Oreochromis niloticus: one gene and its partners. The protein of the gene in region 2 binds, or shares a complex with, the protein of the main gene of each other region. Links are inferred from orthologs where the notes say so. Each region holds a gene or a part of one and is shown on either strand. Other genes may lie near its edges.

What was found.
Region 1: taf11 (region 2) and taf13 share a complex: the UniProt entries of both Homo sapiens proteins name them as parts of the TFIID basal transcription factor complex. The link is inferred for Oreochromis niloticus from reciprocal best matches to the Homo sapiens genes TAF11 and TAF13.
Region 3: taf11 (region 2) and taf8 share a complex: the UniProt entries of both Homo sapiens proteins name them as parts of the TFIID basal transcription factor complex. The link is inferred for Oreochromis niloticus from reciprocal best matches to the Homo sapiens genes TAF11 and TAF8.
Region 4: taf11 (region 2) and taf3 share a complex: the UniProt entries of both Homo sapiens proteins name them as parts of the TFIID basal transcription factor complex. The link is inferred for Oreochromis niloticus from reciprocal best matches to the Homo sapiens genes TAF11 and TAF3.

The regions. Positions count from the first base shown.
Region 1 is NC_031984.2:31,664,033-31,669,840, reverse strand, and holds taf13 (transcription initiation factor TFIID subunit 13), read left to right. Parts: upstream 1-4,487; 5' UTR 4,488-4,623; intron 4,624-4,702; 5' UTR 4,703-4,705; coding exon 4,706-5,080; 3' UTR 5,081-5,291; downstream 5,292-5,808. Other genes in the region: slc35h1 (solute carrier family 35 member C2), read right to left, coding at 453-536, 1,061-1,229, 1,855-1,927, 2,035-2,098, 2,867-3,017, 3,209-3,319. UniProt on the Homo sapiens protein: The TFIID basal transcription factor complex plays a major role in the initiation of RNA polymerase II (Pol II)-dependent transcription.
Region 2 is NC_031984.2:12,203,369-12,210,193, reverse strand, and holds taf11 (transcription initiation factor TFIID subunit 11), read left to right. Parts: upstream 1-3,802; 5' UTR 3,803-3,910; exon of another isoform or gene 3,911-4,097; intron 4,098-4,272; 5' UTR 4,273-4,294; coding exon 4,295-4,462; intron 4,463-5,457; coding exon 5,458-5,588; intron 5,589-5,681; coding exon 5,682-5,769; intron 5,770-5,868; coding exon 5,869-5,965; intron 5,966-6,053; coding exon 6,054-6,184; 3' UTR 6,185-6,805; downstream 6,806-6,825. Other genes in the region: ankyrin repeat and SAM domain-containing protein 1A, read right to left, coding at 2,609-2,778. UniProt on the Homo sapiens protein: The TFIID basal transcription factor complex plays a major role in the initiation of RNA polymerase II (Pol II)-dependent transcription.
Region 3 is NC_031984.2:7,320,340-7,328,342, forward strand, and holds the start of taf8 (transcription initiation factor TFIID subunit 8), read right to left. Parts: upstream 3,012-8,003; 5' UTR 2,891-3,011; coding exon 2,843-2,890; intron 1,083-2,842; coding exon 923-1,082; intron 634-922; coding exon 535-633; intron 450-534; coding exon 387-449; intron 275-386; coding exon 150-274; intron 37-149; coding exon 1-36. Other genes in the region: g0s2 (G0/G1 switch protein 2), read right to left, coding at 3,684-4,037. UniProt on the Homo sapiens protein: The TFIID basal transcription factor complex plays a major role in the initiation of RNA polymerase II (Pol II)-dependent transcription.
Region 4 is NC_031972.2:48,372,783-48,380,784, reverse strand, and holds the start of taf3 (transcription initiation factor TFIID subunit 3), read right to left. Parts: upstream 3,021-8,002; 5' UTR 2,806-3,020; coding exon 2,640-2,805; intron 2,267-2,639; coding exon 2,024-2,266; intron 1,563-2,023; coding exon 1-1,562. UniProt on the Homo sapiens protein: The TFIID basal transcription factor complex plays a major role in the initiation of RNA polymerase II (Pol II)-dependent transcription.

The DNA of each region.
Region 1 (5,808 bases), about 19 Mb from region 2:
ACTGCAACTGATGTACAGGTGGGAGTACGGAGGAGAGACTTTACATGGGAGCTCAAAGGAGAGAAATGAGAAGAGCTCGTAGGGTGCTACAGCATATTTGGAATTTCAACACACTGGCTGTTGTGTTGTGCTCAAGTCATAAACCCGAAACCAATCAGGTCTGTGTTCTAAATTTCACTACTTTTTACACGTTGGGTCTTGGGCTTGAGAAACTACTGCTGATCTATTACACATGTGAACTATTTCCTATTTACATGTAAATGAGGTGTGGGTGTCAGAATAGACACCTTGTTGACACTTAATCAGTTTCTTAAATGGAAAATGACCATCACACTGCATAGTGGGGTCTGTAAAGGTTTTCAAAAGACTTGTAATGCCATAATTAGGGGCTACAGAGCTTAATTTAACGCAGCGACAAAACATGAAAGAAAATGAACTTATTCTATACTCACCTTCATTAAACAGGAAGAGGGGAAAGAGCCCAAGGAACATGAGAGGTTGGAGGTGGTACATGGCATCTATTGGGTTTTGAAGGCCTAAAACAGTGCAGCATGAAAAAGATGAAAATAAGAGGGAACTGTGTCCCCGCTGGGAAATCTCAAATCATAGCAGAGTTTTAAATCAGTGCTTTACAAGCCTGGCATATAGTTAAAGTTACTGCTGTTGGGCTTCAATGTGTTTTACTTTGTAAATGCTTATGGATGGATGCTGCTGTAATAAACTCAGAGGAAAGACAGTGGGAAGCAACAACCCAACTTTACCTGCTGTTAATGTTGTGTCAAAACCTGCATTAGAGCCATCACTGGTGGATCTTGTTAACTTTTTGTAGACCATTCAAGGATGACGGCTAGGTTGAAACCACATAACAGGATATTTTGGGTCTCTCTGATAGTTGTTTTCTTTTTTTTGTATTTCACACCAATCCTCTTTGAAATGGTGTGTATCATGTTTTACTGTATACCTGATGAAAGCCACAACTCAAAATTAATTGGTGTAGCTCCAGGTTATAGGCTTTTTAACCTCTTTGGAAGCCCTCACTCCACAGTGACTGAACACTTACCCAGCTCGGCTTTCTGCGTGAGGACCTGAGTGAGGGTCCATCGAATCCCCCCTATGAAGGATGCTAGGAGCACCAGAATAAAGCCTTCCAGGTTAAACTGGGTCGACTCAAAGGTAAACATAAAGAGACCGCAGGAGATCAACAGGACCACCAGGATCAGAAATGGGTTCTGGATTTAAAGGGAGAAAAGACAATGACACAGCAGTTTCAAGTTAAAATTGAACAGAAAAAAGAAGAAGAAAGAAACAGGATGGCAGATAAAAGAAGAACAGACAAAGCACAAACTAGAGGAGAGATTAGACAAGAGGTAAGGATTGCTCATTACTGCTCATGTGATGAAACCCCCATCAAGCTACACAAAACACCACTGTGCTCTGTAACAGGAAGTGATACAAAACTGAAGTGAGAGCTCAAACACCTCATAGTGAGTGACTATTGTGATTTGGTGCTATATAGATAAAGTTGAACTGAATCGAATCTTTAAGCTATGACACCATTAAGAAAAATTGGCATATTTATAACCGATCCATCACCGCTGCATGTGCAGCACTGTTTTCAAATTAGAAATTTCGCATGTTCTGCTACAGCCACAGTGCACTTTGTGAACGTTGCTGGATGCCTGCTTTGTGCAATGCACCACAATCGAGAAAACAGACTAAAAGAATTGCCTCTTGTATCATTTTGCCTGTATGAGAAGCATGCTTAATTCTCCAGTTGTGTCTGCGTGACATTAAAGTGAAGACAAAACTGCACTGTTAGCACTGCTGTCAGCGTCATGTGATCAGTACACTCACCGGCTCCTCCAGTTTAAAGACCAGAGAGAAAAACAGGATAAACAGCACTGCTGAGGACTTGGTCATGGTATACCTTGAATGACACAAAATAAAAGTCGTAGAATATGTAAGGAACAATACAGTGACTGGTTAAGATAAAATACTGAGCTTCTAATAAAAATCTCCAAACCACAAACTTACAGGCTAATGGTGATGAAGAGGAAGCTCCAATTGGAAAGTCCGATATCCAGCGCTGTTGCGATGGCTGCGGGTAAGAAGGACAGAATTTAGAAGTACAGGATGACAGGTTCATTTTAAAACTTAAACACAGTTAAAACCACTCATTTCACTGCATTTAGAGCACAAATACCCACTAAAAAAAAATAAAAAATACATGGGGCGCACCCTGGGGCGCCTCTGTCAGTGCGCCCCAGGGTGGCTGTGGCTACTATGTAGCTTGCCATCACCAGTGTGTGAATGTGTGTGTGAATGGGTGGATGTCTGGATATGTAAAGCGCTTTGGGGTCCTTAGGGACTAGTAAAGCGCTATATAAATACAGGCCATTTACCATTTACCATGTATATAATCAATCCCACTGCCCTTTATTCACATATTAAAATCACCTTGATGTTGTTTTAGTGTATACAGTACAACGGAACAAAATATTAATTACTTTTGATTTAATTACTCTGAATTTTTGCTTTTCTCAGTCTTTGACTCACTTTTTCCTTCTGACTCTTTTGCTGTTCTAACAGGTAAATTTCCTCAGTGTGGGATTATTTCAACTGATCTTATTACAACTTAAGTTTGGGCAGAATTTTAGTTTATACGAGGCAAAACTGGTTTGGAACGATTCATTTAATGCGCTTGCTTTTACATATCTTCATCAGTCTCCTCAGGGTTGGCGTTTTTATTCTCTCCACACAGACTTTAGACGAAGCATTCCGCAGAGCTTAGTCAATCGGTGAACCCAATAAGAGGCGACTGTCCCTTGTCTAAATCACCAGTCTCCCGACTCAAGATAAAACTCACCTGTGGGTGCTACTTTTCTGAGGTACTCTTTCCACCTCAGAGTAACACGAGGTTTCCCTGTCCACCACTGCACAGCCTGTCGTGTCAGAGCTGACAGACAGAAGATGATGGTGAGGTGAACTAAAGTCATGAAGAGGGGGTAATGGAAGCCCTGAGAGAGGGAGAGAGACAGCTGGGGTCATCTAGGATGGCCTAGTCAGTGTAGGTCTCCTTCTCAGGATCCAGGAGACTCCCAAACAAGCAAAGCAGAGCGCCCTCAGGTGCTTATTTTCATTAATCACCTTTAATACAACCAAGCATGTTATAGGAAACTGACATGGCTGTATGAGCTTCTTTACTCACCTTCATTAGCCATTTGTTATAGAATGTGATGCCTATAGAGAAGACATAGTAGAGAAGAACTAATCCAACAGTGCGCAGCCCCCTGCACAGGAACTGGACCGGGCACGCCATACAGGACTGCCAGGACCAGCTGTCCACAACACACAGCTACTGCAGAGGGGCCATCTCCGACCTGAACCCACATCCTCCCCGAACAGCCATACCAGACCTCTTTACAGCAGAAAAGGAACAGAAACACCGCAGAGAAGAAAAACAAGGTTACAGCAGGACTGCGTTTGTGCACATTAATGCCAGTTAGTGGAACAGGCGCTCAGACAGAATTTAAGCGAAACCTATTTGATACAATGTTAGCATAACGGCAACATTCATTTTAGCTCAAATTAAACGTTATCAGCTACTAGCAATCTCTTAACTGCGTCTGCTAGCGGATAAGCAGCTGGTAACAATGTTGTGCTAATCTTAAACACTGTGCGTTAACTAACAGGAACATCAGACAGCCCCAGCAGACGAACTCACCAGCAACAGTCCTCCAAGAGTGACTGAGAGAGGAAGGCTCACTGGATAGCTGCTACGTTTTATAGGTCAAACTGGTTTCTTTGTTAACTTGCCTTATAGTTCATTAGCTAACATTAGCCTGCCATTTAGCATCTATATTAACTTGTTAACATTATCAGGTCAGTAATTAGCTATAATACTCAATCCGGTTGACTGAGATAAGCTTTGAACATCACTTGGCGGGGCAGGAGTCCACAGCAAGATCCACGGGGACGTGTCACTTACTCACGGCAACGTGCACGTGCTGAGCCCTTGCGATAAGGCTCTCAGTGTTTACTTGGAATCTGAACCCTCTGTTCAAGCACCGAGATCCATTTCTTTCCACGTTAGCTGTGAGGTGTTGTTCTTGTTCAGCCACATGAACAATGCTTCTGTTTCCACTCACACCGCCAACTTGTCATCGCCCTTTGTGCATAGTTTGTCTAGGTCTAGGGTTTAGCTAAAGTAAAACCAAATGAAAATGGCGTAGCTTTTTTTACATTCTAAGCAAGCTACGTGTCGGCGATTCCCGCATAAACCAGGCGATATTAAATTAAGTTCGATCTTCCGATACAATCAAACAGATCGCGCTTTAAAGGAAACTCACCGTCAGCTGTGTTGGCTTCTTCACTTCTTCTTCTTCTTTGTGTTTAACGGCGGTTGGCAACCAACGTAAAGGAGCATTACCGCCTCAGCTGTGTTGGCGAATAACACGAGTAAATTTAAACACTGGCGAGAGATGGCCACAAGGGGGAGTATCTGTGATTTCTAGCCCTGTCTGTTTCCTCTACAAACCACCACTTCCTCAGTCAAGGAAACAAAAGCGGAAGTCGGCGCACATAACAAGCTGTTGTTGTGAGACAGTTGTGAACAAGCACAAGGTAAGTTTAATGTTAACGCGTATTTAACAATGAGCAGGTAATGTTGAGGTTTAGAATAACGCTTGCGGGTGTTTTTCAGCAAATGGCGGAGGAGGAGGACGAGCCAGGCTTCGACGAAGAGTTGGAGGACGGCTCCGGCGGGGTGGATGTCGGCTACGGCAAGAGAAAGAGACTCTTCTCCAAGGAGCTCCGGTGCATGATGTACGGATTTGGAGACGACCAGAACCCTTACACGGAGTCTGTGGATATTCTGGAGGATCTGGTGATCGAGTTTATCACGGAAATGACCCACAAGGCCATGTCTATCGGGCGCCAGGGTCGCGTCCAGGTGGAGGACATCGTTTTCCTCATTCGCAAAGATCCCAGGAAGTTTGCTAGAGTCAAAGATCTGCTGACCATGAACGAGGAGCTGAAGAGAGCTCGGAAAGCTTTCGATGAAGCAAATTATGGCTCTTAAAATCACAACGGGACTGTTTGTTATTCCTCCCGTGACCTTTGTTTCTTTAAATTTACTGTACGTGTGCTCGTCAGTTCTTCAGTCTTCAGACTGCATGTTTGTGTCTCGTGTGTGTTTATAGACAGTAAAACAAGAAATTTCAGTGTATATGCTTGAATTCAGACTTTTTGGTTAAGTAAAATAAAGCGACTTGCCAATAGTTTTAAAGTGACCAGGTCCTCATCTTAATTTCTTGTGCGCAAACACCCCGTTATTCAGCATCACAACAAGAAATCTTTGAAATCGGCTTAGAAAAATTAACAGTGAACTCACAAATGTTAACAAATGAGTTTTTCAGTTGTTTAAAAAAAATGACCCAATTTGATGTTTGTGGTTCTTTTAATAGGATTCTAGGAGTGAACAGGGTTCAGCATTCGGAGGGACTTGGGTGTTAAAGAGCTCAACAGTTTAACATTTCTTAGCATACAATTTAAAGGATGGGGCTTTATTTTTGGTTTTTTAGTGTAAATCACTGCATGGACTGCGTTTGTGGTCACAGTATCCACAAATGCAGATGAAACATCAAACAATCACAGAAAAAATTTATTTAATGAAGAAACACTCCCCTTCCTTTCACTTGAACGCATTAACCCTGACAAGCCTGAACTATGAAATCATTGTCAGAAAAATTAATATAATTTGAAACTGGAGTGTTTATTGAGCTTCGTCATTAATTTATTAAAATGAGA
Region 2 (6,825 bases):
CCTGGGCCAGGAAATACTAGTGTTGGTCTCTTCCTGTATACCTCTGGGTTCAAAAAGGGTCATAGGGCTTCTAGTGAAAACTACAGTATGGAGGAAAAACAAGTAAATATATGCCCTAAAATTAAATTCATGTAACTTAAATATGAGTAGCCGCCGCTGTGCTGTAGTAGTAAAAAGGTTACACTGTGATCTTACTACTTGAGGAAGCACTGCCCAGCTCGTTTCGGTGTTAATGGAGCACCATGGAACAAATGTTTGGGGCGGCAGGGGTGTTAAACACGCCGGGGGTCAGTGTCTATACCATGGCAACGGCTGGGATGCAGCCTCCTGGGAAAGCAGACATTCAGCCGAGCAGAGCTGTACAACAGCCTGCGCACAAAAACACTGCAAGTCGTAACATGCGTTCCATTCCAGAGTAAGAACGCTAACGATCTAGCAGAAGCACACACACAACAAAACACTTCAAAGAATGGGACTAAAGTTGATTAGCTCACTCATCTGCATCACCTGTGGTTTCATTTACGTGATAAACAAGTAGGTTTTTCCACTATATTGAATGTACAAGGTCAAATACAAACAGCAACTGACAACAGCAATAACTGTCATTATATATCATCTCATATAACTGAGCCTGAAAAGCAACTTGAAGTAAGGAAAAGTGTTATTACACAAGTAGAAATGAACGGACATGGAATCAAGCGGAGGTACAAGCTGACACAACCAGAACAGGCGAAAATTCGCCAAAGAAAGCTGTCTTAGCCACAGATCAAATCTCCTCTGACAGGATTACAGGCCTGCACTTTCTAACAATGGATGATGAATGGGTTGCAAAGAGATTTTGATAAAAGGGGGTTGGAAAAACATGCACATACAAACCCACAGCCTGTGCCACTGTACCAATCCACTGTAATACCCTTAGATGTATTGACATTTTCATTGTGGAAACCAAATCAAATGTCATGCACAACAGAAACAGCCCTCCAAAGCAGCCAGTCAGAGTCAACACTCATGCAAATTCTTATAAGAGCCTGTCCAGTATTCTCAAGTGTCACCAGCCAGAAGCTTTTTAGATCTACACACCACCTATTTATTCATTCATTTCCTCCCGAGCCTAGCCAATAATTTCCGAGAGATCCCATTGCCAAACACCGATTGCTCAAGACAAATGAGATGACACAATGGGCTCGCCAGTCCGCCCACGGAGCAGTGAGGATGAGACGAGTCAGCCTTCACTGCATGACATTTCTGAATTGGATTTCCAATTAGGAGAATTTAATGTAATAATCTCAAGCAAATTTTGCAGTCTCCACTAAGTAACACAGTGGCGCATCACCCCAAGCTTTGCCTTAACACTTCTCCCTCAGAGGAAGGCGGCTGTTACCGGGAAACCCAAGGGAGCAATTTTACATGATTGACATACACTTTACCACAGACAGGCGACCTGCAGGTTGTATGAGAGGCAGCATTTAAAAAGGCTATAAGCCTTATATTTTTAAGGAGTCGACTCCTTTTCAACAAAAGGACTTTTTTTATTCTTTCTTTGCAGGTTTTCATATCACGTGTAACACACAGAAACTTCATGATTAAAAAAAAAAAAAATTATCTGTCACCAGAGAGAAAAACAAGAATCAAACTGTGGTGAGCCAATAATGCAGATAACACAGCGCAAAATGAAAAATAACTTATCTGATTTTTTTTTATTTGATTTTTTTTTTAATATCTTATTTAATGTTCTCAACATCTGCACAACCTTACGGGGATCTTATACTTCTACTAAGGGCTTGTCCCTTTACTATATCTTTTAGCTTTACCCAGTGTGTGATTTTGGGTAATTGAATCTGGTTATGTCCACAGTCACTATCAATTGCAGACAATACAGTGTGGGCAAGTATGACAGCTACTTTATATAACTCTGGGCTGTTTTTTCAGTTTTTAATAGTGACCTCATAACTACTGAAGGCAGACAGAGAGAGCAGGAGGAAGGAGAGCTAACTCTTTCTAACCATACAGAGTAGGTCTTTAATAGATGTGACAAACCACATCAAACGTTTACCTCACCGAGGACTTCCTCCAGTGACTACTAAAAAAAGAAAGTCATATTCCTGGCTCACACAAATCTGAGGATAGTCAATAAGGCTTCATACGACAAAGATTTCCTTAAAATAAGAGAATTTTGCTAAACAATGAGAATCCAATTGTGACAAGACTTTCCATCTCCAGACCTGTGACTGTGTTCACGTCCAGACGCCATGTAAGCATTATAATTACTGACACATCTGCAATTCGTTTCTTTAAACGTAATCGTGGGCCGATTCGTTGCAGATTTCGTTAGTTAAGTTGCATAATTTCCTCCCAGGCTGTTTGTGCACATTATAGTAGAAATGGCAGTAACACAGGAGGAGGTGTAGGCTAACAAAGAAGCATGCCACTGCTTGGGCGCTGCACTGGTTTGGCTTGCGACTGTTTGACAATGCAGGGAAGCATGCAAACATGAAACATCGTTTCTTGCAGTAACAATAAAGGATTGGGTAATATTCGCCAGGGGCAAAGCTGCTGGCTGTCTCCCATGTAGTCAGAGCCACCTCGCCTCGGCTTTCCCTAAGCCTACCTGAGCAGACTGGAGAGCGGATGAGAGGAGGCGCCGTGGCCACCGCTGTTGCCGCTTCCACCGGTCCCAGACGATCCGCCAGCGGACTGTCGCTTCCCGGATAAAAGCTTCTCCACAGCAGCCAGGTTTCCCGTGCGCGCCGCTTCAAGAAGCTCCTGCTCCTTTCCCATCGCGGATCCCAGAAAGAAATCAAAGGAGGCGCGGGGAAGAGAAGGAAAAAGGGGAGGGGGGTTGGTTATGGGAGTGAAATTCCTGTGCGAGCCCCTCTTTCTCCCGACCTCAAGTTATTCCTCAGTGCTGCTAAGTGTGGAGAGGAAACAAAAGCTCCCTCCGCCGCGCTGGATCCGTCCGTCCCGATCCACGGGTGCTTCTGGCGCTCACGGGAGTGAAAAGTTTCCTTCAACAGCACGGCACAAGCATCGAACAAACTTCCTCTGACCAGACCACTGAGCGTCGTCCGTCACTTCCTCGAAACTGCCCTTTCTTTATGCATCTCCAATCCGAAACCCTTCAGACGCACACACACTCGCACACACACACACACACACATTTATACCCCCTAATACCGCCGCCCTTACTGCTTCAATCAGAAGGTGGATGGATATAAGCAAGATGGCGCATTGGTTAGAGACAGGCAGGATTTACCCATTCAGTGCTTTTAAGATCTGTTCGCCTCTGACCTCTTGTATCCACAGTAAACGTCCATACATAGTCGCTTAATTACTTACTAAACGCTTTTTAAGTTACTGATTGGTAGTCTATAAATACAAATAATACTACTAGTAATAAAATCAATAATAATAACAATAAGAAGAACACAAATTAAGAATAAAATTTTTTAGGAATAACTATAACTGTGAATTAATCTTACTGTCAATGGAACTACCTGACATTAGCAGCTAGGCAACTCTAATCGTATTAATTCCGGTCAAATTAATAAATGTTTTACAGCATTTTGTCCAGTGAAAGTAGATAATCTGGGAAATAACAAGAGAAAACCAAGGAATATATTATGCTTTATTTATTTCAGACAGAAGCCACTTGCAGCCTGAATATTTACTGAATATTGCGCTGTAATTAAGGGGCAAAAAGACAAAGCAAAACGAAACAAACAAACAAATGAATGAACATCGTCCTGTTTATTCCTAACTTCTGAACGTTACTTCCATAGTCCGTCGCTGGTTACTACACAGAAGGCGGTGTTAATAAAGTTCATACAAAACGGAAACGGAAATGCGTATGCTGTGTTAGCAACATTACCAGGGAAATTAGCCATCTGATGCATCGTACCTCTTACTATAGGTGGTTACATATTTATATAATCCACAGCTACTGCGTTCATTAGAATATAATTTTGTGTACTGGGGTATATTATATAAATCAGGCATATGTTAGCCGCCGCTAGCTTCTAATCGTTAACTCTAATCGTTAGCTTAAATTGACGGCCAGACTGTTGCCGCTGCTTTGTTGACGCCTAGCTGCGGACAGGGTATGTGCATACTCGTTTGTTTGTTTTTTGTAAAGTTTTATCCACACACTGCTATTAATACTAATGTACCTAATTTCTGGGCTATCTAGCTAAAACAATTAAGTAATTTAGCTAATTGTAGCTAGCTTTTTAGAGTTGGGGTTAAGTATCTCATCAACTTCTTTGATATTTGCAGAATCTAAAGTGAAATTAGTAAAATGGCAGACCCTGCACGGATCAAGAGCGATGATGCACTTGAGAGGACATCTCCTACCGACGAGGAGCACCTGAAGTCAGAGGAAAGCGAAAATCCTTCAGCCACAGAAAAACCTGCAAATGAAAACCTAGAGACATCGTCGCAAGATCAGCTTAAAGAAATTAAACATGTGAGTTTCGGAGCGTCATTTGCATAAGTTATTCAAGAAAGAGGTTATAAAAGAAAAAGTGTGATAATTAGGGCGATGAAGAAAGTAAACAGGAGTACTGGAAGGCTGGACGCACTGCAAAGGCTTATAGTGAGTTGTATGTGAGGAAGGAGAAAAAGAACTTGTATCGACTGGTAGACGGAGAAATCAAGATGGAAAGTATTTGAAGAAGGTTGGGGTGATTAAGGATAGAGATGGAAATATGGTAACAAATGGATCTAGAGAGAGGAAATGATTGGGTGCCAAGGGAGGATTGCTGTTACAGCATGATAAGGCAGGAGTGGCAGAGAACTATGTAAAGGTGTTACCGGACATGTACAACGATATTGAGACAATGGTGAGGTGTGCGGCAGGAATTACATATAGGTTAAAGGTACATCAGGATAATAGATGAGGTCAGGCAGGTCATAGTTTATGTGAATTTTGATGTTTTCAGACTGCGTTGTGGCTGTTAGTGGGAATGGGGAGCAGATAGAAGAGAGGTGGAGATATGTGCTGGAGAGAAGAGGAATCAAAGTCAGTAGAAGCAAACAGAATACATGTACTTGAATGAGAGGGGAATAGGCTTAAAAGTGAAAATGTAAGGAGCTGAGGTACTGAGCGTAGATTAGTCTATAAATATATGGGCTCAGCCATCCAAAGCAATGAACCGTGCAAAACGGAAGTGAACAAGGGAGTGCAGCCATACAAGATGGTAATGAGACCTGCAATGAGGTGTTGTTTGGAGACAGTGGGGGTAACAAAAAGACAGGAGGTGGAGTTTAAGGATGCTAAGATTTTCACTGGGAGTGACCAGTGTGGACAGGGTTAGACATAGTTTAAACCAACAAAAATCCTAAAACCTGAATGATCAGATTTGAATTTACAGGCTGTCATTTGTGTTTTTGTTATGTGGTTTCACAGTGGTGTCTCTTTCTTTGTAGTATTTCTGAATAATTTTGTCTTCCACTGGATAGGAAACACCAGGAGGAGAAGATGAGGAAGAGGGAACCTCTGGCCAGCCTCCTTTGAAAAGGTTAAAAGTGGAACCTGAGAAGAAAAAGGAGAAGCGGCACAAGGTTGATGAAGATGAAATACAGAAGATGCAGTAAGACGGCCTTTTTAATCTCACAGGTCATCGTTCTTATTCTTGAAATTATGTAATTTGCCAAAATTCACCATAACTCCATAACATTTTCAGAGTTTTGGTGTCATCATTTTCTGAAGAGCAGCTGAATCGATATGAAATGTACAGACGTTCTGCATTCCCTAAGGCTGCCATTAAAAGGGTAAGTTTTTTGGGGTTTTTTTGGTTTTTTTAATAGAGGAAGTATTAAAAACCCTGAAATTGTTGTATTGATTTGATGCCTCTTATTTTAATATTCTAGCTCATCCAGTCAATAACAGGATCATCGGTGTCCCAGAATGTGGTTATTGCCATGTCTGGTATCGCAAAGGTCTTTGCTGGGGAAATTGTCGAGGAAGGTTAGTTGGAGGATTTAAGAAAACCGAAATCACCCAGACTACAAGGTTATATGAATTATAGTTTCATGAGGTGTCTTTGCCTTTACAGCTCTGGATGTTTGTGAGAAGTGGGGAGACACACCACCACTTCAGCCTAAGCACATGAGGGAAGCAGTGAGGAGGCTGAAGAGTAGAGATCAGATTCCCAACACAAAGTACAAGAACATTCTCTTTCACTGACACACCTGAGCTGCAGATTGTATGAGGATGACGGATAAATGCCAGTAATTTAATAAGTGGTGCAGAGCATATGGAAAACTCACCATGAAGCCACTTAACACATCTTGCAGCCAAGTAGGCAGTGACTACAGTCCTGAAGAGCAGTCAAGGCAGCTGCTAAGTAAAGCCGAGTTGCCATTCACCCCTCAAAGTCGAGGTAAACGTTTTTCTCATCATTAAATTGGTTGCAACTAAACCGTGAGAAATTATGGTTTTATTTAAAACATGTTTTATATTTTAATAGCCAATGTTTTGTTTGTTTTTCTTTTTGAGTGAAACATTTCAATGTGATTAGGGCCAAGCTGAAAATGCAAACATCATTTTTAGTTTGATTCCATATTTGAAAGCCTTCGTATCATTTAAGGCCCTTCTTCTCTGTAGCCAATAGTATTAGTTGTTTGACCATGAACTGGAATTGGAAATAGTTTGGACTCAAGACAGACTTGATGGAAAAACTGGGTTCTTGATATTTGTTACTTCAGTTTATATTTTTGTGCAGGTTGTCATCAAGACTTGATGAATTCTGTTTAAACTGTATTTGTAAATATTGTACTTTGAGATTAAAGTCAAGTTTGCATTATACTAGTAAAATGAGCAGAATG
Region 3 (8,003 bases), about 4.9 Mb from region 2:
CACCACTTGGTAGTCTGACACGGGCTCTCTGAAAGTCTACAGGAAGAAAAACTCTTAAGTGGCTTACTTTTTAGTACAGTTGTACTTCTATAATACACAATCCAGCTTTCTAGGGATCTCCATAATGAAGTGGAAAAGTTCTGACTCACAGGTGTTTTGATATACGTGTGAGGGTCGGGGAATTCTGGGAAGTGGCTGGGGATGTGGGCTGGATGTGTGCGCTTCTGTCCAGCTGACAGCGCTTTGGGAGTCACAGGAGCATTTGTCACTGGAGCTGAAATTAAAAAATAAATAAATAAACATTTTTCACATCTAAAACCACTGGATCAAAAGGTCTCAAGTCATTCATTTTAATACTAATAATGGAGAGCTGAGTTCCTACTTACGGGCAGTTATGACCATCCTTTGTGATCTTTTAGCATATATGGGCAAAGTATCAACATTGAAACCTTTAATGACACAAACAGAATAAATCGAATCAGTATTGTGTTCTCTTAGCAACGTTTAATCCATATGTGTTATAGGAGGTCTTACCCATTTCAATAAGCGTGACCACTGTGTCTGACAGTGTCGGGACGCTCCTGGCTGTGTGTTCACAGTATGCTTTGGCACATCGACCTATTTCAGTAATATCTAAAAACAGAGACAAAAATAATCAGTTCTGTAAACATGAATCATCAACCAACTGCAAATTCAAGAAACGTCTGCTCTGAAAATAGTCTACAGGGGCTCAGTTATGTCAGTTTCTCAGCTTTTTTTCACCAACCTCTACCAAAATTATTCCCATTAGTGTTTATTTAAGAAAGTAGGTTAAATAAAGTGAGGTGCACTTGCACTGGTGTTCAGATATATATTGTAAAAGTGGCACTTAAAGATTTACAGCTTTCCCAGTGGATGGTGTATACTTAAAAATCATACATACAGCTCTGCAACATCTCAGTTAGGGTTTCCACAGCTGCCTTCTCTGCACTCTCGAAGCCACTCTCAGTCAACAGGGCGCTGACAACGACCTGCAGGGTTCGACGGCGGGCCAGGAGGTAGTTTTCTGCAGGGCTAGAAGTTGCTTTACCAGCACTTCCACGCTGAGAAAAATAAAATAAATGTGAATAAGGGTATACAACAGAAATACATATAGATATGCCGTTGTCTTAATGAGAAAAATATCTCCTTATAGTCACAACACACTTGGGACTAAAGGATTCTTTAAAAGGCTAAATAAACAGACACATGGTTCCAGAATCTTTAATTGACTTACAGCTAAGGGGCACATGGACATTAGCTTTTGTAATTTGAAGTATAACAAACAGAGCATAATGAGCCTAGCTTTGCAAATTTACCACACAGTGTATGTTATTCCCTTTGCTTGGTGGACACACCAATATGCCAACAATGTGCATGCACACTAAGGTTATGAGGGCTATTACCATAACATTAGAAATAAATGTGACTTCTAACAAATATAGTGGCAAGGAGCCTCTAAACCTACAAAATTGTCATATTTTCTACATTTCACAAACATTTCTCAAGAGTCCTTACTGAACAGACTTATTAAACATTCCCAGTGCTGGTGGTGAAAGTGGGAGAATATTTGGGCTCTGGGTGATTTAAAAAGGCATTTTGTTTATCTGAATCAATTCTATAATAATTAATTTTATGTTAATATTAAAATGTATTGTTCTAATTCACCATCCAGCTCTTAGTGAGCTTAGGATGGTGGACATGTTTCTGTAAGATACATTTGTGTAATTGAGAGATTTAATTTTTGCCACTGCAGCAAACTGCATTATCCCCGAGGTACTAAAGCAGCTTGAAACTGCAATGCTCACTCCATTGATTACACTGGAGACTGATGCAACAGTTCTGAGTCAAAGTGATAACACATACTGCAAATGCTCACTGAACCTTCCCCAACCATGTGGACAGAAAACACCTTTAAAATCTGCTGCTGTATTTATTGGGGGGAAAAACAACAAACAAACAAACTGGACTGTCCTCAACATTTTCATGAATCCAGACTTAGTGGCATGGTTAGCTCATGTAAACGTCAGGGATATCAACAAAGATCAAACATTTTTTTTGAATTTTCGTTTTTTTTTTTTCCGCCAGCATTTTTAGATCCAAATAGGCACGATTTATACTTTATAGGCCAAACAAAACAGACAAACATTAAAGCTGCCTAGGGGTGGTCTGACTGTTGGATTTCTTTGTATTATTGTAGGTTTTTTTGTCTATAATATAGAGCGCCTTGAGGGGGCTGTTGCTGTGAATTGGCACTATATAAATAAAATTAAACTGTACTGAATGGCTGTGCCACTTTATTATTAATAATAAAGGTGCTTTATAAATAAACTGACCTTGTCTAAAATGTTATTAATAGCCATCCCTTGTAGTTAGCAGACAGATGGAAGTTATAACAGCTCGAACGGTTTGTCGGTCTACCCCAAATATCGATGAAAAATACAAGAAGTGTTGCTAAAACCTTCATTCTCCCTAAATTTAGTGTTTGTGATATTGGTATAGACTCTATTTGTTCACAGCTGTAATTTAGATGAGGATGTGCCCATATGTTAAGACTAAAGAACATGTAAAACGTACCTCTTCCTGTCACTTTAAGGACACAAACATTTATTCAGACAGGGTAAGCACTGACATAGATAAAGTTAACCCACCTTATAGTCTATAAAAACGTATTTCAAGCTTTCACCGGACTAAATTATATTTATTTAAAGTTGTTAAATTGAATTAGGACTTCAGTGCAGTCTGACTGTTAGCCAAGCACCGCGAATCCGCCTCTACATGCTACATCCGCCTCCTCTCCGTGACCCAAAAACACATTTCTTACCGCTCCCGCATTCAGAGGGCCTCCCGACGCCACCGCAGGATCCGCCATCTGCAGTTATTAGAAACCTCCTCGTTGTTTTGACCAGATTTATATTTGTATCTCTCCGAACACCGTTTAGCCGCCGTTAGTAAACACGGCACGACTGTATGACGTTGTTTCCGCCACTCTAGCGGAAGGCGATCGTATCACACATGTTGTTTGTCTGTCGCCCCCGAGTGTTCATCTGTAAAACTACACCTGCTTCAACTTCTAATTTGTGAAAATCCTCTGCTGTAAAATTAATATAGCAGGCTTTTAATTTGGTAATTTGTAATGCAAAATAAGTACTTGGAAAAGGTATTTGTGATACTTTTTAAAATATATTTTTCAGTCATAGTTCTAAAATTATTGCATTAAATGAAGAAAATTGAGATTAAAAGATCAGTTGCATCTTTTTAGTTCCATTTTCTCTCTTTTTGCTAATTATAACACGAGGTCCGCTCTTTGAAGTAACCTACCCCACAGATTATATTAAAGTCATGGTCTGAGACAATTGTTTGGAGAAAAAAATATATTTTTATTAGGGTGCAAAACAAATTTAATCACACATATTCCACTTTTACAACAAATCTATCACATCACATTCACAAATATCTGCTGCCCAGCAGCCAACATTACTGTAACCCGCAGTCTTCACTGTATCTCATCTCATTTTTTACCCAGTCAACAGGAGCAAACTGCACATTTAACCAATTTTTGAAATAAAGAATGGGCACGAAGGGACCATTTCCACACAATGACTTGATTTACCAACATTACCATCATCTCTAGTGTCCATTTATGTGAAGAGGAGAAAGTTTCTTTAAGAAGCATGTAAGCGGTTGGCCGAGCTTCTCCGCCTTGAAGTCAAAAGATATTTGGCTTTTTCCTCAGGCATTACTGTATCCACCACATCAACAACTTCACTATCAGCAGAGGCAGTGTGTGGCTTCAGCACCTGCTTCTTCTCCTTCTTCTTCAGGATGATAAGCTCTGCTGGTTCATCCTCCTCAGTATCTCTCTCCACAAAGGGCAGGAAAGCCATCTCTACCAGTCCCCCGACCATACCAAGCATTGCCAGAGTAGAGCCGAGCATGTAGATCTTCAGCATGCTCCGGCTGGGTCTCTGTGTCAGCATCTCCTTCGCAAATGGGATGATCTCGCCAAAGTTTTCCATAATGTGTTGTCGATGAGTCTGTTAAAAGAAAAGGAACAATTGTAACCAGATATTCTGTAAACAGTACAAAGATTTACTCCTGACAACTAATCCATTTAATTAAAATGCAAAAATTCTACTATCCACAAAAAAGAGAGAATAATACTTACTTCAAAGCACACGCGCAAACTCTCTTATTCTCTTTTTCTGTGCGCTCTGAGTAATCAGGCTTTGCAGGCAGAGGCAAAGGCAGAGCCTGCATATTTAAACCCAAGCAGGGCCAGGTTAACGCCCACACTGGGGACACAATGCATATTCATGAGGCCACTTGTACTCCAATTGTTTTGTTGGAGATTAGAACTTGTTTGGGTAAAAGGGCAGACACATCCAATCCCTGTATGTGATGAAATGCATGTGATGTGACATGTTGCCTGAACTCTGCATGTGCAGTTCGTGCAGTAAACATTATATTGTTCTGACAGTAAGTAATGCTTTGCAACATTGGTTGGTACTCATTAACTTCTTCAAGCACACACAGGCACACCTTCTGTGTAAGAAAAGTTAAAAATAAATGAATAAATGATGTAAACATTCAGACAGTTAACATGTTACTGACCACTGAACAACATGAGTCCTGGGTTTGTGCCATGCATATTGATCTTTATCAGGAGAGCTTCATTAGTGTCCAATAAGCGTATGCAGGGCTGTGGAAAGCCAGCCCCATTTATTGGTTAATTGATATTGTCTGACAACAGTATTGGTTACACATGGAATACCCCCTATTGAACAGCAATAGATAAGCCTCATTAGAAGATAAGGGTCAATAGAATCCCCTAAAACATGCTGTCCTGAGCTGCTCTGCTCCTGGACCTAAATCTGTCCAAAATGCTGACAGTACGTGCGTGTGTACGTGTCTCAAACTCTCTGCCCTTTGAACCAGTTCCCTGCTGCACGAGAGAAGAGTAGCGAGTTGGGAAATGTGTCTGATCTTTGTCACAGAGACATCATCACTGAGTGAAAATGACAACCACACGTTGCTTTAACATCTGTACACCAGATGAATCATGCTTAACATTTTATCCAGTTTGACTTTTAGCTGTGCTGGTAGTGACCAAATACGTTACAATAAGTCTTTAACTGTCGTATTGCATATTAATATAATTTTCTAAGTAAAGTAGAGCAGTTATACAGATTACTCATGACATTACATTAAAGCATTACTTTTTAATTCAGTACTTTGAGATTTTGAACTGAATAAGGAGGTGAAGATTTTATGTAAAGAATTTCTTACTAATACATCAGGTCAGAGTAAAATACAGAAGAAAATGCTAAAAAGTATCCACACTAATTCCACTCTTCATAGCTAATCCAGGGACAACCTTTCACCCCGTTTGTCCTCTTTTGGATTGCAGGGTTGCCTAAAATATTGCAGGTAATAACGCAATAATTACACAGTCGATAATGTTCCTCTTTGAGCAACTCAGTTTGAGCTCTGGGCATTTATGTTTGCCACTGCTGGGAAAATGTTGAGACTGTTTGGAGACCTTTGCTCCATTTTTTTGTTACTTCTGCCTGAAATGAACAGTCTGTCTCTATTCTGGACTTCACCAAGTCACCATGCTGTGGTTGAGGGGGAAGTTTTATGGCAAATGTGGATGTGAAAACTCTTTCAACAGGAGCTAAGGGGAGAAGGAGTTTAGATACACAGTATTTAAAATGTTTATATGTGAAAATAATTACAGAAATTACACACACAGTGACTTTTTTATTTCAGAGATTTTAAAACTGAGTGTTTTACCTGTAACACAGTGTTTGCAGTTAGATTATTCTTGTTGAATCCAGCTTGGCAAATACAGGAAATTCATAAACGGGGTTAACTGAATAATAATGTAAAGCATATACCCTTTAAGTCAACATAAATTTCTCAGCTTTTGACTCCTATTCACATCTTATAATAAAAGCCATTTAAACCTGGTCACAAGGACATGTTTTGTATCTGTTGGCTTACTTGGCTTAATTTACTCCGTCTGGAACCTGCTGTTCTAAGTACATTGCTCCTTGTAATCCTGACTGTGCTGGAAAGGCTGAAGTACAGAAGTACAGCCTGCTAATTGGCTTGTTGGTTAGATTAACTGAGGTTACCAGCTCAGGTTAAATGAGTCCCAGTTTATGATGTATTTATATTAGGATGATGCTAAATAACATGCAAGTTTGCAGAAAGTTGCAGAAATTAACAAGAAGAAAAAAAAAATCTATATTTAGAAAGTAAACACGTCTGACCAAAGCCTGTTTAAACTGTACCCTGAGTTTCCTGTTGCCCACCTGGCAAGGATCCAGTGTGGCCTTCTGCTGCTGTAGCCCATCAGCTTCAGGATTCAATGTGGTGCTAAATGTGCTAAAAAGGATCAGTACTTTGTAAAATATGCAGACCAGCTCATCTGGCACAAGCAACCATGCTACGTTCAAAGTAACTTACTGCAAATCACCTTTTTTTTTTCTCATTCTGATGCTTGCTTTGTATTTTAGCGGCTCATCTTGACCATGCATTGAGCTGCCGGCTGAAATGTGATTGGTTAGCTAGTGTATGTACTGGCAATAGCTTAATTTAATTTACAAAGTTTACCATTAATTTGTTTCCCAGGAGTGAAGGTAAAACAACCACAGCAAAACAAATGCAGATCCTTTATTTTTGAGTATACAGAGATCCCAGCATAATACATATATAACATTAATATATGTTAAATCCATCATTACAAAGCCACATACTGAGACAAACAGCAGACTGCCCAAAGTAAACCGCTTACAATAAGTGAATAAAGATGTTTAACAATAGACTTTAGCTGAATGTAAAAGTTCTAGTAGGTTTATGGCATTTAATGAATATACTTGTGGCATTTACACTGTTAATGATAGGTTTGTTTAAATATACATTGTTATATATTTTTTTTATTTCAAACTTGAATTTGATCTGCTCTATTTTATTTTATTTTTTTTAAAAAGAAGCAAATAATTAAAAAAATAAATTAATGAAACAATTAACTTAAAGAAAGTAACAAAAATATGAGACAACTTTACCATATTAAATTACAACAGTATGGCTTATTGGATGCAGTAAGCATGCGGTTTTCTTATTCTATTCTATTGTGCTTACAAATGCAGGCTGGCTATAGAAAGTGCTTTACACATGATCAAGTACAATAATTGTCATTGACGTCATTGTGTGTATTATTTTAAGCATGGAATCATGAACACAAAGTGTTCGGATGAGCTGACTTCTGCCCCATCAAAAACCAGTGGTCAGGAACATCGTCACCATAAACGACACGGATAGTCATGCAAAGCCCGGCTAGAGCTGAGCCCATCTCATCCATCGCTTTCCCTCCTAGATCACACAGTTCTGTTGAATACTGTCAAAACTGTTCTGGTTAAAAATGAGACTCGTGCATCCGAGCATGTGAGTTTCGTTGTGGTTTGTGTACTTTGGTGTGGTTTTTGGGAAGCTTCCTAGGCACTCTCTCCAAAATAAAATGCCCCACACAGACTGTGGATCTCCCACACCGCTTGAATCAACCACTTGTTGTTCTCAGTACCTGGGAGCTGCTGACGCAAACCAGCTGTATGCTGGGTCAAAACAGCAACACTGACCTGTAGAGGGCAGAAACACATTCAGGGTGAGAAATAAGTCCGTATGGAGCTGAGAATTTAAAATAAAATACACTCAGCATGCTCTAGATTGTTTGCTTTAGGCTCCTCAGGTCACAGCCAGGGTGTTACCACACAGACACTCAGGTGTTTTGAGTTATTCTGCCTGATTTTCAGATTTAAATCAAGAATACCAAATACAATAAATAAAGAGTTCATCTATGGAGATGAACTGTAGTTGAAAAATAAAAAAGTATTATATAAATCTGAATATTACATGTATTTGTTCGTTATATCCACATGCTTTAAGTGTACCTACCAGGTAAAATGTTTTTTTTCCATGTA
Region 4 (8,002 bases), on a different chromosome or scaffold from region 2:
TGGCGGGATATCACCCAGACCAAAGGGGGATAATGTAGATTGCTTCTGCTTGTCGTCCTTGCTCTTATCTTTCCCCTTGTCCTTTTTATCCTTGTCCTTTTTACTTTTTTCTTTATCCTTCTTTTTGTCTTTATGTTTCTCCTTCTCCTTTTTAGAGCCGTCCCCATCTCTTGACTTCATTTTGATTGAGCCCTCAGCCAGGGCGAAGTCTCGTGGAACAAAAAGTTCCTCGTCCTTTACCCCAAACTCCTTCCAGGGCATCTTCCCATCTTTAGAAAACTCCTTGTTTTTATCCCTGTTCTTGTCCTTATTCTTCTCTTTCAGCTTACTCTTATCTTTTTCCCTGTCTTTATCTTTTGGCTTGTCTTTCTCCTTCTTCTTCATCTTAGTTTTCAGCTCCTTCTTTAGCTTCTTCTTGACATCTATTGATGACACAATCTTATTTTTCTCCTCAAACACCTTGAGGAGTGGTTCAGGGGTAGGTGGTGAAGCTGATCCGGATGACACGTAATCTGCTGCCGGTTGGGGTGCAGCGGGGGCAGATGGCCCCCCCTGGTTGGCCTTTCGGATCACCTCGTTGATTGAATCATCCATCGTCCAATTCCCCAGGCCTATGTGTGGCGGAGGGTGAAGTGGTGTTGACGTGTCTTTTAACAAGATGCCAGCACCAATTGGGCCTTTAGGTGTAGATGGCTCCATAATAGTCAGTCTCCTGGGACTGGAGAATCCATTGCTATCCGACTCAGAGCCCGAGGAGAACGCGAATGGATCGGGTTTCCGTTCAGCACATGCTCTAGCTATCACAGCGTCAATAGAATCATCAATTGCTCTATTATCTGGCTCTAATTTCTTGAAAGGGCCTGCAATTAGCTCCCTTTCTTCTATGTTCTGACGCAAATGAATATTGTCTTTGCCCATGCTCTCACTCGGTGTGGACAACGGTAACTTTTGCATGACATCTGGTTTGCTCTGAGGTTGGGGGGCTTTAGCAGGGGCCATTTTAGGGCTCTTGGGGCTTTTAGGACTCTTTGTCTTGCCTGGAGACTTTTTCTTTTCCTTAGATGGTTTTGGTGAATTTATGGGACTGCCAACCACTGGAACAGGAATAACCCCTTTAGGGGACTTAGTCCTTTGTCTGCCAGGGGAAGAGACCTTAGGCTTTCTTGCTGGAGCAGTGAGGGCCTTCTGATCAGAGTGTTTTGGTATTACGGGCTGAGGTCTAAAGGAAGGCAGGGTACCAGATGGCATTTCAGGTGACAGGGGGTCCAGGCTGTCATGAGAAGGCAGAATACCTGGACTAACACGTTGAGGGTTGAGAGACGTAAGGGGCTCCCTGGGCTCAAGACCCCACTCTGGGCTGAGGCCAGGGTACATCCGAGGTCTCTTGGAGGTAGGCATCATGCCCATAGCTGCATCAGGACTATCCAGGTGCCTCTTTAGTGGATGATTTTCATCGTTGACCGTTTCATCTTCATCTATTTCCTCCTCATCCTCTTCCAGTGCCACCTGCATAGCTTCAGCTGAAGTACCCATATCAGGGGGGACCTCTTCCTCCTCTTCTTCTAGAGTAAAGGAGATAAAAAACAGAACTAAGAACTTTGACAATAACAACATGACATTTACAACATAAACATATGACTTTAGTTTGAACTTTTGACTTGACTGACTTTTGACTGAATATATTTGGGTATTAAAAAAAGTATTTCACTTTGTGTGAATTGATGCATTTACACTTATTTTTAGCAACTTAAAATATAAAATATAATATAAATATACATTAAAAATTTACAACACAATAAAATGTCTACAAAGCAAAAAGATGATTCGTAAAAAACTATTTTACGAATCTGCTGTGTTACATCATAGTCTAATGTAACAACCCTGCAATAAACTTAATTATAATGCTATATTGTTTGCAAAGTATTTAGAGAGGACTTGATTCGACTTTGCTTTCAACTTTCAGCCTGTGCACACTAAAAAGTAATGATCATATAGCTAATACTATACAAGTTATTATACTGACCTTCTTGTAAGGAGACCAGGGGTGGCATATACTCTGGAATGTAATCCTTCCTTTCCTCTGCATCTCGAACTCCAGGTTGGGGAAACTGCAGGACATTGTTTTTGCTAACAGGGTAGAGCGGTGTTTGGTGGCTGAAGGGCACAGGCTCCAGGTTGTTGACGTAGTCCTCCAGTTCGCTCAGACTCACCCCTAGCAGTCTGAAAGCCTGGCTGACATCGTCCAGGACTGGATCTGTTCTTCCATCTGAAATGGATCAAAAATGCTGTCATTAAACCACAGCACACACTCTGCACACACTCTTCCTGCACCAAGAAGTGATGCTCAACAGGTTTACAGTCGGCATACGACGTTATTTTATAGATTATACAGCAATTAAGTAACCAATACTCGTGAGATCGGCTACTTTTAGCACTGAAAACAGATGCAAAGCAGCATACTCCCAATAATAATAATAATAGTACTGGGGAAGTCGCTTTGCTGTTCCTACTGTACTTTCTGACACATTAACTGCTTGCTAGGGGGCGCCAGCTGCAGAGCCAGTTAACAACAACGTGATCGACTACTTTTGAGTTTACAGGCTAAAAAAAGTAATAAGAGAACCAAAGAAAGCACTTACACAACTCAGAGTATCGATGACAGACCCGACCCAACTGCTGGATGTACCGATGCAGCACATCGGACAGCAGATCACACGCAGTGAGCTGAACCGCATCCCAGCCCAGAGCCTGGCAGATCTGCGCCACCGAGACACGCAGCAGCGAGCGGGCATAGCTCTCGCACATCTCGCTGACTTTGTTACGATATTAATCCCGGTCAATTCCTCTTGGAAAACATGCTCCCGCTCTTCATGTTTCGCGGAATGCCCCGAAGGGCTTGGGAAAACCCACTACCACGGTTAAATATGGACATCTACTTCAGTAAATATATTGGCGCTTTTGCCAGAGTCGCCATCTTGTTTCCATCGATAGACCCATCCCCGGAATCTAGTCCGCGCATGCGCGCCAGTGAGCCTCCGCCTACACGGCTCTGCGGAGTTCGAGCGGATCGTGACTGTCTGCACAGGCGCAGGAGCTCTCTCTGTGGGTTATACAGGAAGCTAGATTTTACTCAGGCTGGGAATGGTCATTAGTTGGGCTATTGAATGTAGACTAGTTACCGTAGATGAAACATGGCTTTAAATTAGAGCCATGACTCAACTAAACTAAGCTATGCGCGTTTTTTTTGACGCTGCAGGAACATTCACAACGTTCAGGGCACGCCAGCCGTCAGTTTCGGTTTTAGCTTCTCACCGCCGAGTGACGCCGAAGTAACTGTTTCTCACTTCCGGCCCAAGTAAAAAGTAGAATATTTCAAGAAAAATATACCCACTGTCTGAGAAAAACAAAATCCCAATTTGCAGGGTGGCTTTTTAAAATTCATTTTGTCAGACTAAAGCTAATTCTAGGTGACTCTTAAATTTGGAAAGCTAACGTAAACTTTATCACATGAGTTTGTGTGAGAAATAGAGCGTGGTTTGCCTGCAGGTTTAATTCCCCACACTGGGTGGTGCTGGATTATTAAAAATGATCACCGCCTTCCAGCTGTAGACCTTTATTAAGCAGTCGAATTTCAGTTTATCTCCATATATTTCCAGACTTGTATAACAAACTGACAGTCACATCAAAGGAAAGCCAGTGTCAATGTGTCTGGTCACCATGTGCCCACCACAAAAGCTTCAGTGCACCTCTGCAATGATTCTCCTAAGTTATTGGATCCCTTAAGGACCATTCTTGAAAAAAAAAATCTGTATTGGTTCTGTGACAATGGTGCTGGAGATGGCTGTTTAATCCGAAGTCTCAAATTCTATCATGGGTCTCAAAACTGGTTGTAGATTTGGTGATGGTGAAGCTTATTAGCTGTGGCGAATGCTGGAAGTGTCAAATGTGTCTGTGTAGGTTCTCAGTCAATCCAGAAGTCTTGACTGCTGGAAAATAAGTCAATGGGACTTCTTTAGGTTCTCAAAGAAGTTTTGCCATTTTATTCAAGAAGCTTCCTCTAACCACCGGAGAGTCTTCGGTATTTAGCCCTAGACTGGCCTGTCCTGAGAGTCACTTACCTACTGTTGTGAGTCGTTATTTGATTGGATTCCAGAAAGTTGATTCTCTTCACCTCGACTTTGTGTTTTCAGAGGGAGAAATGCTTTGTCACTCCTCCAAGGGACGTCTTAAGTCTCAGCTGACTGCAGATTTCCTGAACCTTATAACAATATATTTGCATAATGACTGAAACTAGCCCCACTGATTAATGATGGGTGTGAGGTCAGTTTCGTGATCATTAATATGCAAATGGTTATCACCACTGATCAATCACTGATCAATGGCCTTGAGTACCATTCACAGAGAGTGGGAGAAAGGCTGTAAGATGGTGAAAAAATGTACCTCTGATCTGTTCCTGTAGTCACTCCCTACATGAATGGCCTGCTTGTCTCCCTACATAAAAGGGAGTGGGTCTTATCACCAACGGTGATGAGACGGCCTACAGGGAGGAGGTCAGCGCCCTGACCCACTGGTGTCAAGACAACCATCTCACCCTCAACGTCGCAAAGACAAAGGAGTTGATAGTGGACTTCCGGAGGTGCAGGGAAGTACACACCCCCATCACCATCAACGGCGCCGCTGTGGAGAGAGTGAGCAGCTTCCGCTTCCTTGGTGTACATCTGGCTGAGGATCTCACATGGTCAGTACACATAAACAAAACAGTGAAGAAGGCGCAGCAGCGCCTCTTCTTTCTCAGGAGACTGAAAAGATTCGGCATGAGCCCCCACATCCTCAGGACCTTCTATCGCTGTGCCATTGAGAGCATCCTCACTGGATGCATCACCACCTGGTATGGCAACAGCACCGCTTACAACTGCAAAGCTCTCCAGAGAGTAGTGCGGTGTGCTGAACGGATAATTGGAGGTGAGCTTCCCTCCCTCCAAGACATCTACAGGAAGCGGTGCCTGAGGAAAGCGGGGAGGATCATCAAGGACTCCAGTCACCCCAGCCATAAACTCTTCAGACTACTTCCATCAGGAAGGAGGTTCTGCAGCATCCGGTCCCGCACCAGCAGACTGAGAGACAGCTTTTTCCACCAGGCCATCAGACTGCTGAACACGTCATAGACACCTCACCCTCACTACTGGAACTTCAACATTATGCACTCCATACTGTACATTAATGCCACTGTTTTGCACATGTCCAACTACCAACCTCTGCACATTTTATATATCTTATTTTATTGTTTACTCTATTTCATTTGTAAAAGATGTATATACACACTCACACACACACACACACACACACACACGTAGAAAAACATATTTAGTATACACATCCAATAATGCATATACTCTTATACATTGTACATATATTTATTACTTTCAGATTTAGCCATTCTTATATTTTTGCTTGTTTTACGTTATTGTATTTTTGCACAACTCTGTTGCTTGAGAAGCTCGCACACAAGAATTTCACTCGCATGTACTGTACCAGTGTACCTGCACATGTGACGTGACAATAAAAGTGATTTGATTTGATTAAAACCAGTGTTGCCAGGATGCGTACATCTCAGCCTAGAAAGAGTTGCCACTGGTCTATAGGTGTAAAAAGTCCCGGCCTGTTGAGGTAGCTGGTTTGTGTTGTGCCATCTGCTTAGCCAGCCAGAGGTTGTTTGGTTTTCCTGATGTATAACTCACTTCACTATGGCACTTCACTATGTACGCTATATTACTTTGTCTGTTCTGGGGAATCCGATCCTTGGGGTGAAGCAATTTTTTTGGCGTAGTAAGTTTTGGGGTTTGAAAGGCACAGAGACATTGTGTTGAAAGAAAATGTCTCTCATCTGTTCGGATGCTCCTGACATAGGGGATCACTAAAGGTTTTCATTTAGGCAGCAATTGTCCTTTGCGCCACGCAATCCAGGATCCAATTCCTTTCTTGGGATTTTCTTACCTAGATAACTGAGCATGCATCTAGACATTGTTTGCTTCACTTCATTGGATAGCTTAAGCTGGGCATACACTGTGCGATTTTTTTCAGTTGCGTTATTCAGCTCCTGCTCAAACTGTATGATTGAATCGCAGGAGTTAGAAGTTCGTAGGTCACGATGCATGGTCTCACACTATACAGCCCGATGCTCTGATGTGACCTGAGTGCTCACACTGTGCGTCCATTAAGTGAAGTGATAACATGAAGCTTATAACACAAAATCTGTCTCTTGGTCTCCCTCTCTGTCTTTCATTCACACAGACACACACACACACACCACCATCAACTTTGCTAAATTACTAATGAAAGACATTGACTAGGCAGCTGCAATTGAGCAGCAATGTCCATCCAACTCTTTTCACAGTTGTTGCGGTCGTTTTAATTTTGTGAGGCCACATCGAAAAGGCTCGGATGAGCTTGCCAAAGTTCTACAAGTTGGGCCTGTTTATAGAACTGAATAACCTCTTGTATGAGAGGTGAAATATCTTCAAAAACCTCCTTTTTTTCAACCTCCCAAGACTACATTTATATAACTTCTGGTTCTGAAAAGTGAAGCAAATGCAGTAGTGCCTTAAACCCAGCTCAATTTTTTAAATAACCAGCAGAGGGCCTTCTCTATTTGCAAAAGAAAAAATGAGGGGAAAAAAAGACTTCTGGGGATAAAGAAGTCTACAGCACATGTGTCAAAGTTAAAGCCAGCGGGCCACATCCGGCCCGGCGTACATTTATATCCGGCCCGCGAGATCATTTTATATAGATGTACTATTATTGTTATGCATGGCCCGGCGATATGAGGCGCTAATAATATACGAACTACAGATCCCATAATGCAGCGCTGCAGCCTCCTTGCTGAACGCTAGGCTAACTGGGAAGATTCCTGCTCAACTCAAACTTCTGTTATTGCGTATGGGCTCAAAATGTGGTCATAAATATTTTGTACTTGTAAATCAGTTTTGTACTTGTAAATCAGGATTTGTATGTGTAAAAAGAATTTGTGCGTGCGTAAAAAAGATTTGTATGTGTAAAAAAGATTTGTGTGTGTGTAAAAACGATTTGTATGTGTAAAAAGAATTTGTGCGTGTGTAAAAAAGATTTGTATGTGTAAAAAGAATTTGTGCGTGCGTAAAAAAGATTTGTATGTGTAAAAAAGATTTGTGTGTGGACTTAGCCAAAAACTCCCCTGCAAGTTACAAATACGAAGTTTGACCCTATTTTTCTTCCTGTCATCTGATTGGTGAATGTCATGTCAATCACAAATGTAACAATCCAATCAGAGAACAGATGGGTTTGGCTGTCGGAGGGGCACTTTTTTGAACTGCAGGTCCTTGAAGGGAATAAATGCCCTTTTACATGCCAACCCAGCGTTTTCCTTCATCACCACGAAGGAAAACAGTCTGTGGTCGTCCGAGTTTGGTGATTTTTGTGTCACAGGTCTACGTGCTTTATACAGGGACTTCCACAGCCTTTTCAACAGCGCTGCGGACCGCGGGGGGGGGGGGGGGGGGGGGGCAGTGTTTTGGAAATGACAGTCTTCATTACAAAGCTTTCTTCGTTATGAATTAGCATACATGTTTTTATTGAACATTTGAAGAACTAGCAAAAAAAACAGAAACTGTTGTAGAGGACATAAAGTCAGAGATAGAAACGACAAGGAGCAGGTGCATCTAGTACAGGTAGAGCTGCTGCAAAAACCCACAGAGCTCAGCAGCCAGCGCAACAAATTCTGGATCCTTTGCTTTTAGTTAGCAGTTAGCATTAGCAGCACATCCTGCATCAGATGTGAAAGGACCTTTATGCTGCGCACTGTGACTCACAGCAATGGTCCTGGGTCAGCCCTGACTTTGTGTTAAACTAATCCTAAAGTAATAATGGTATTTCTAACCACTGACATACCACAACTTTATCCTTTCAACAGCTGCGGACCTAGCTGCTATCGGATATTTATATAGAGATCCTCCAGCTTCAAACTGTA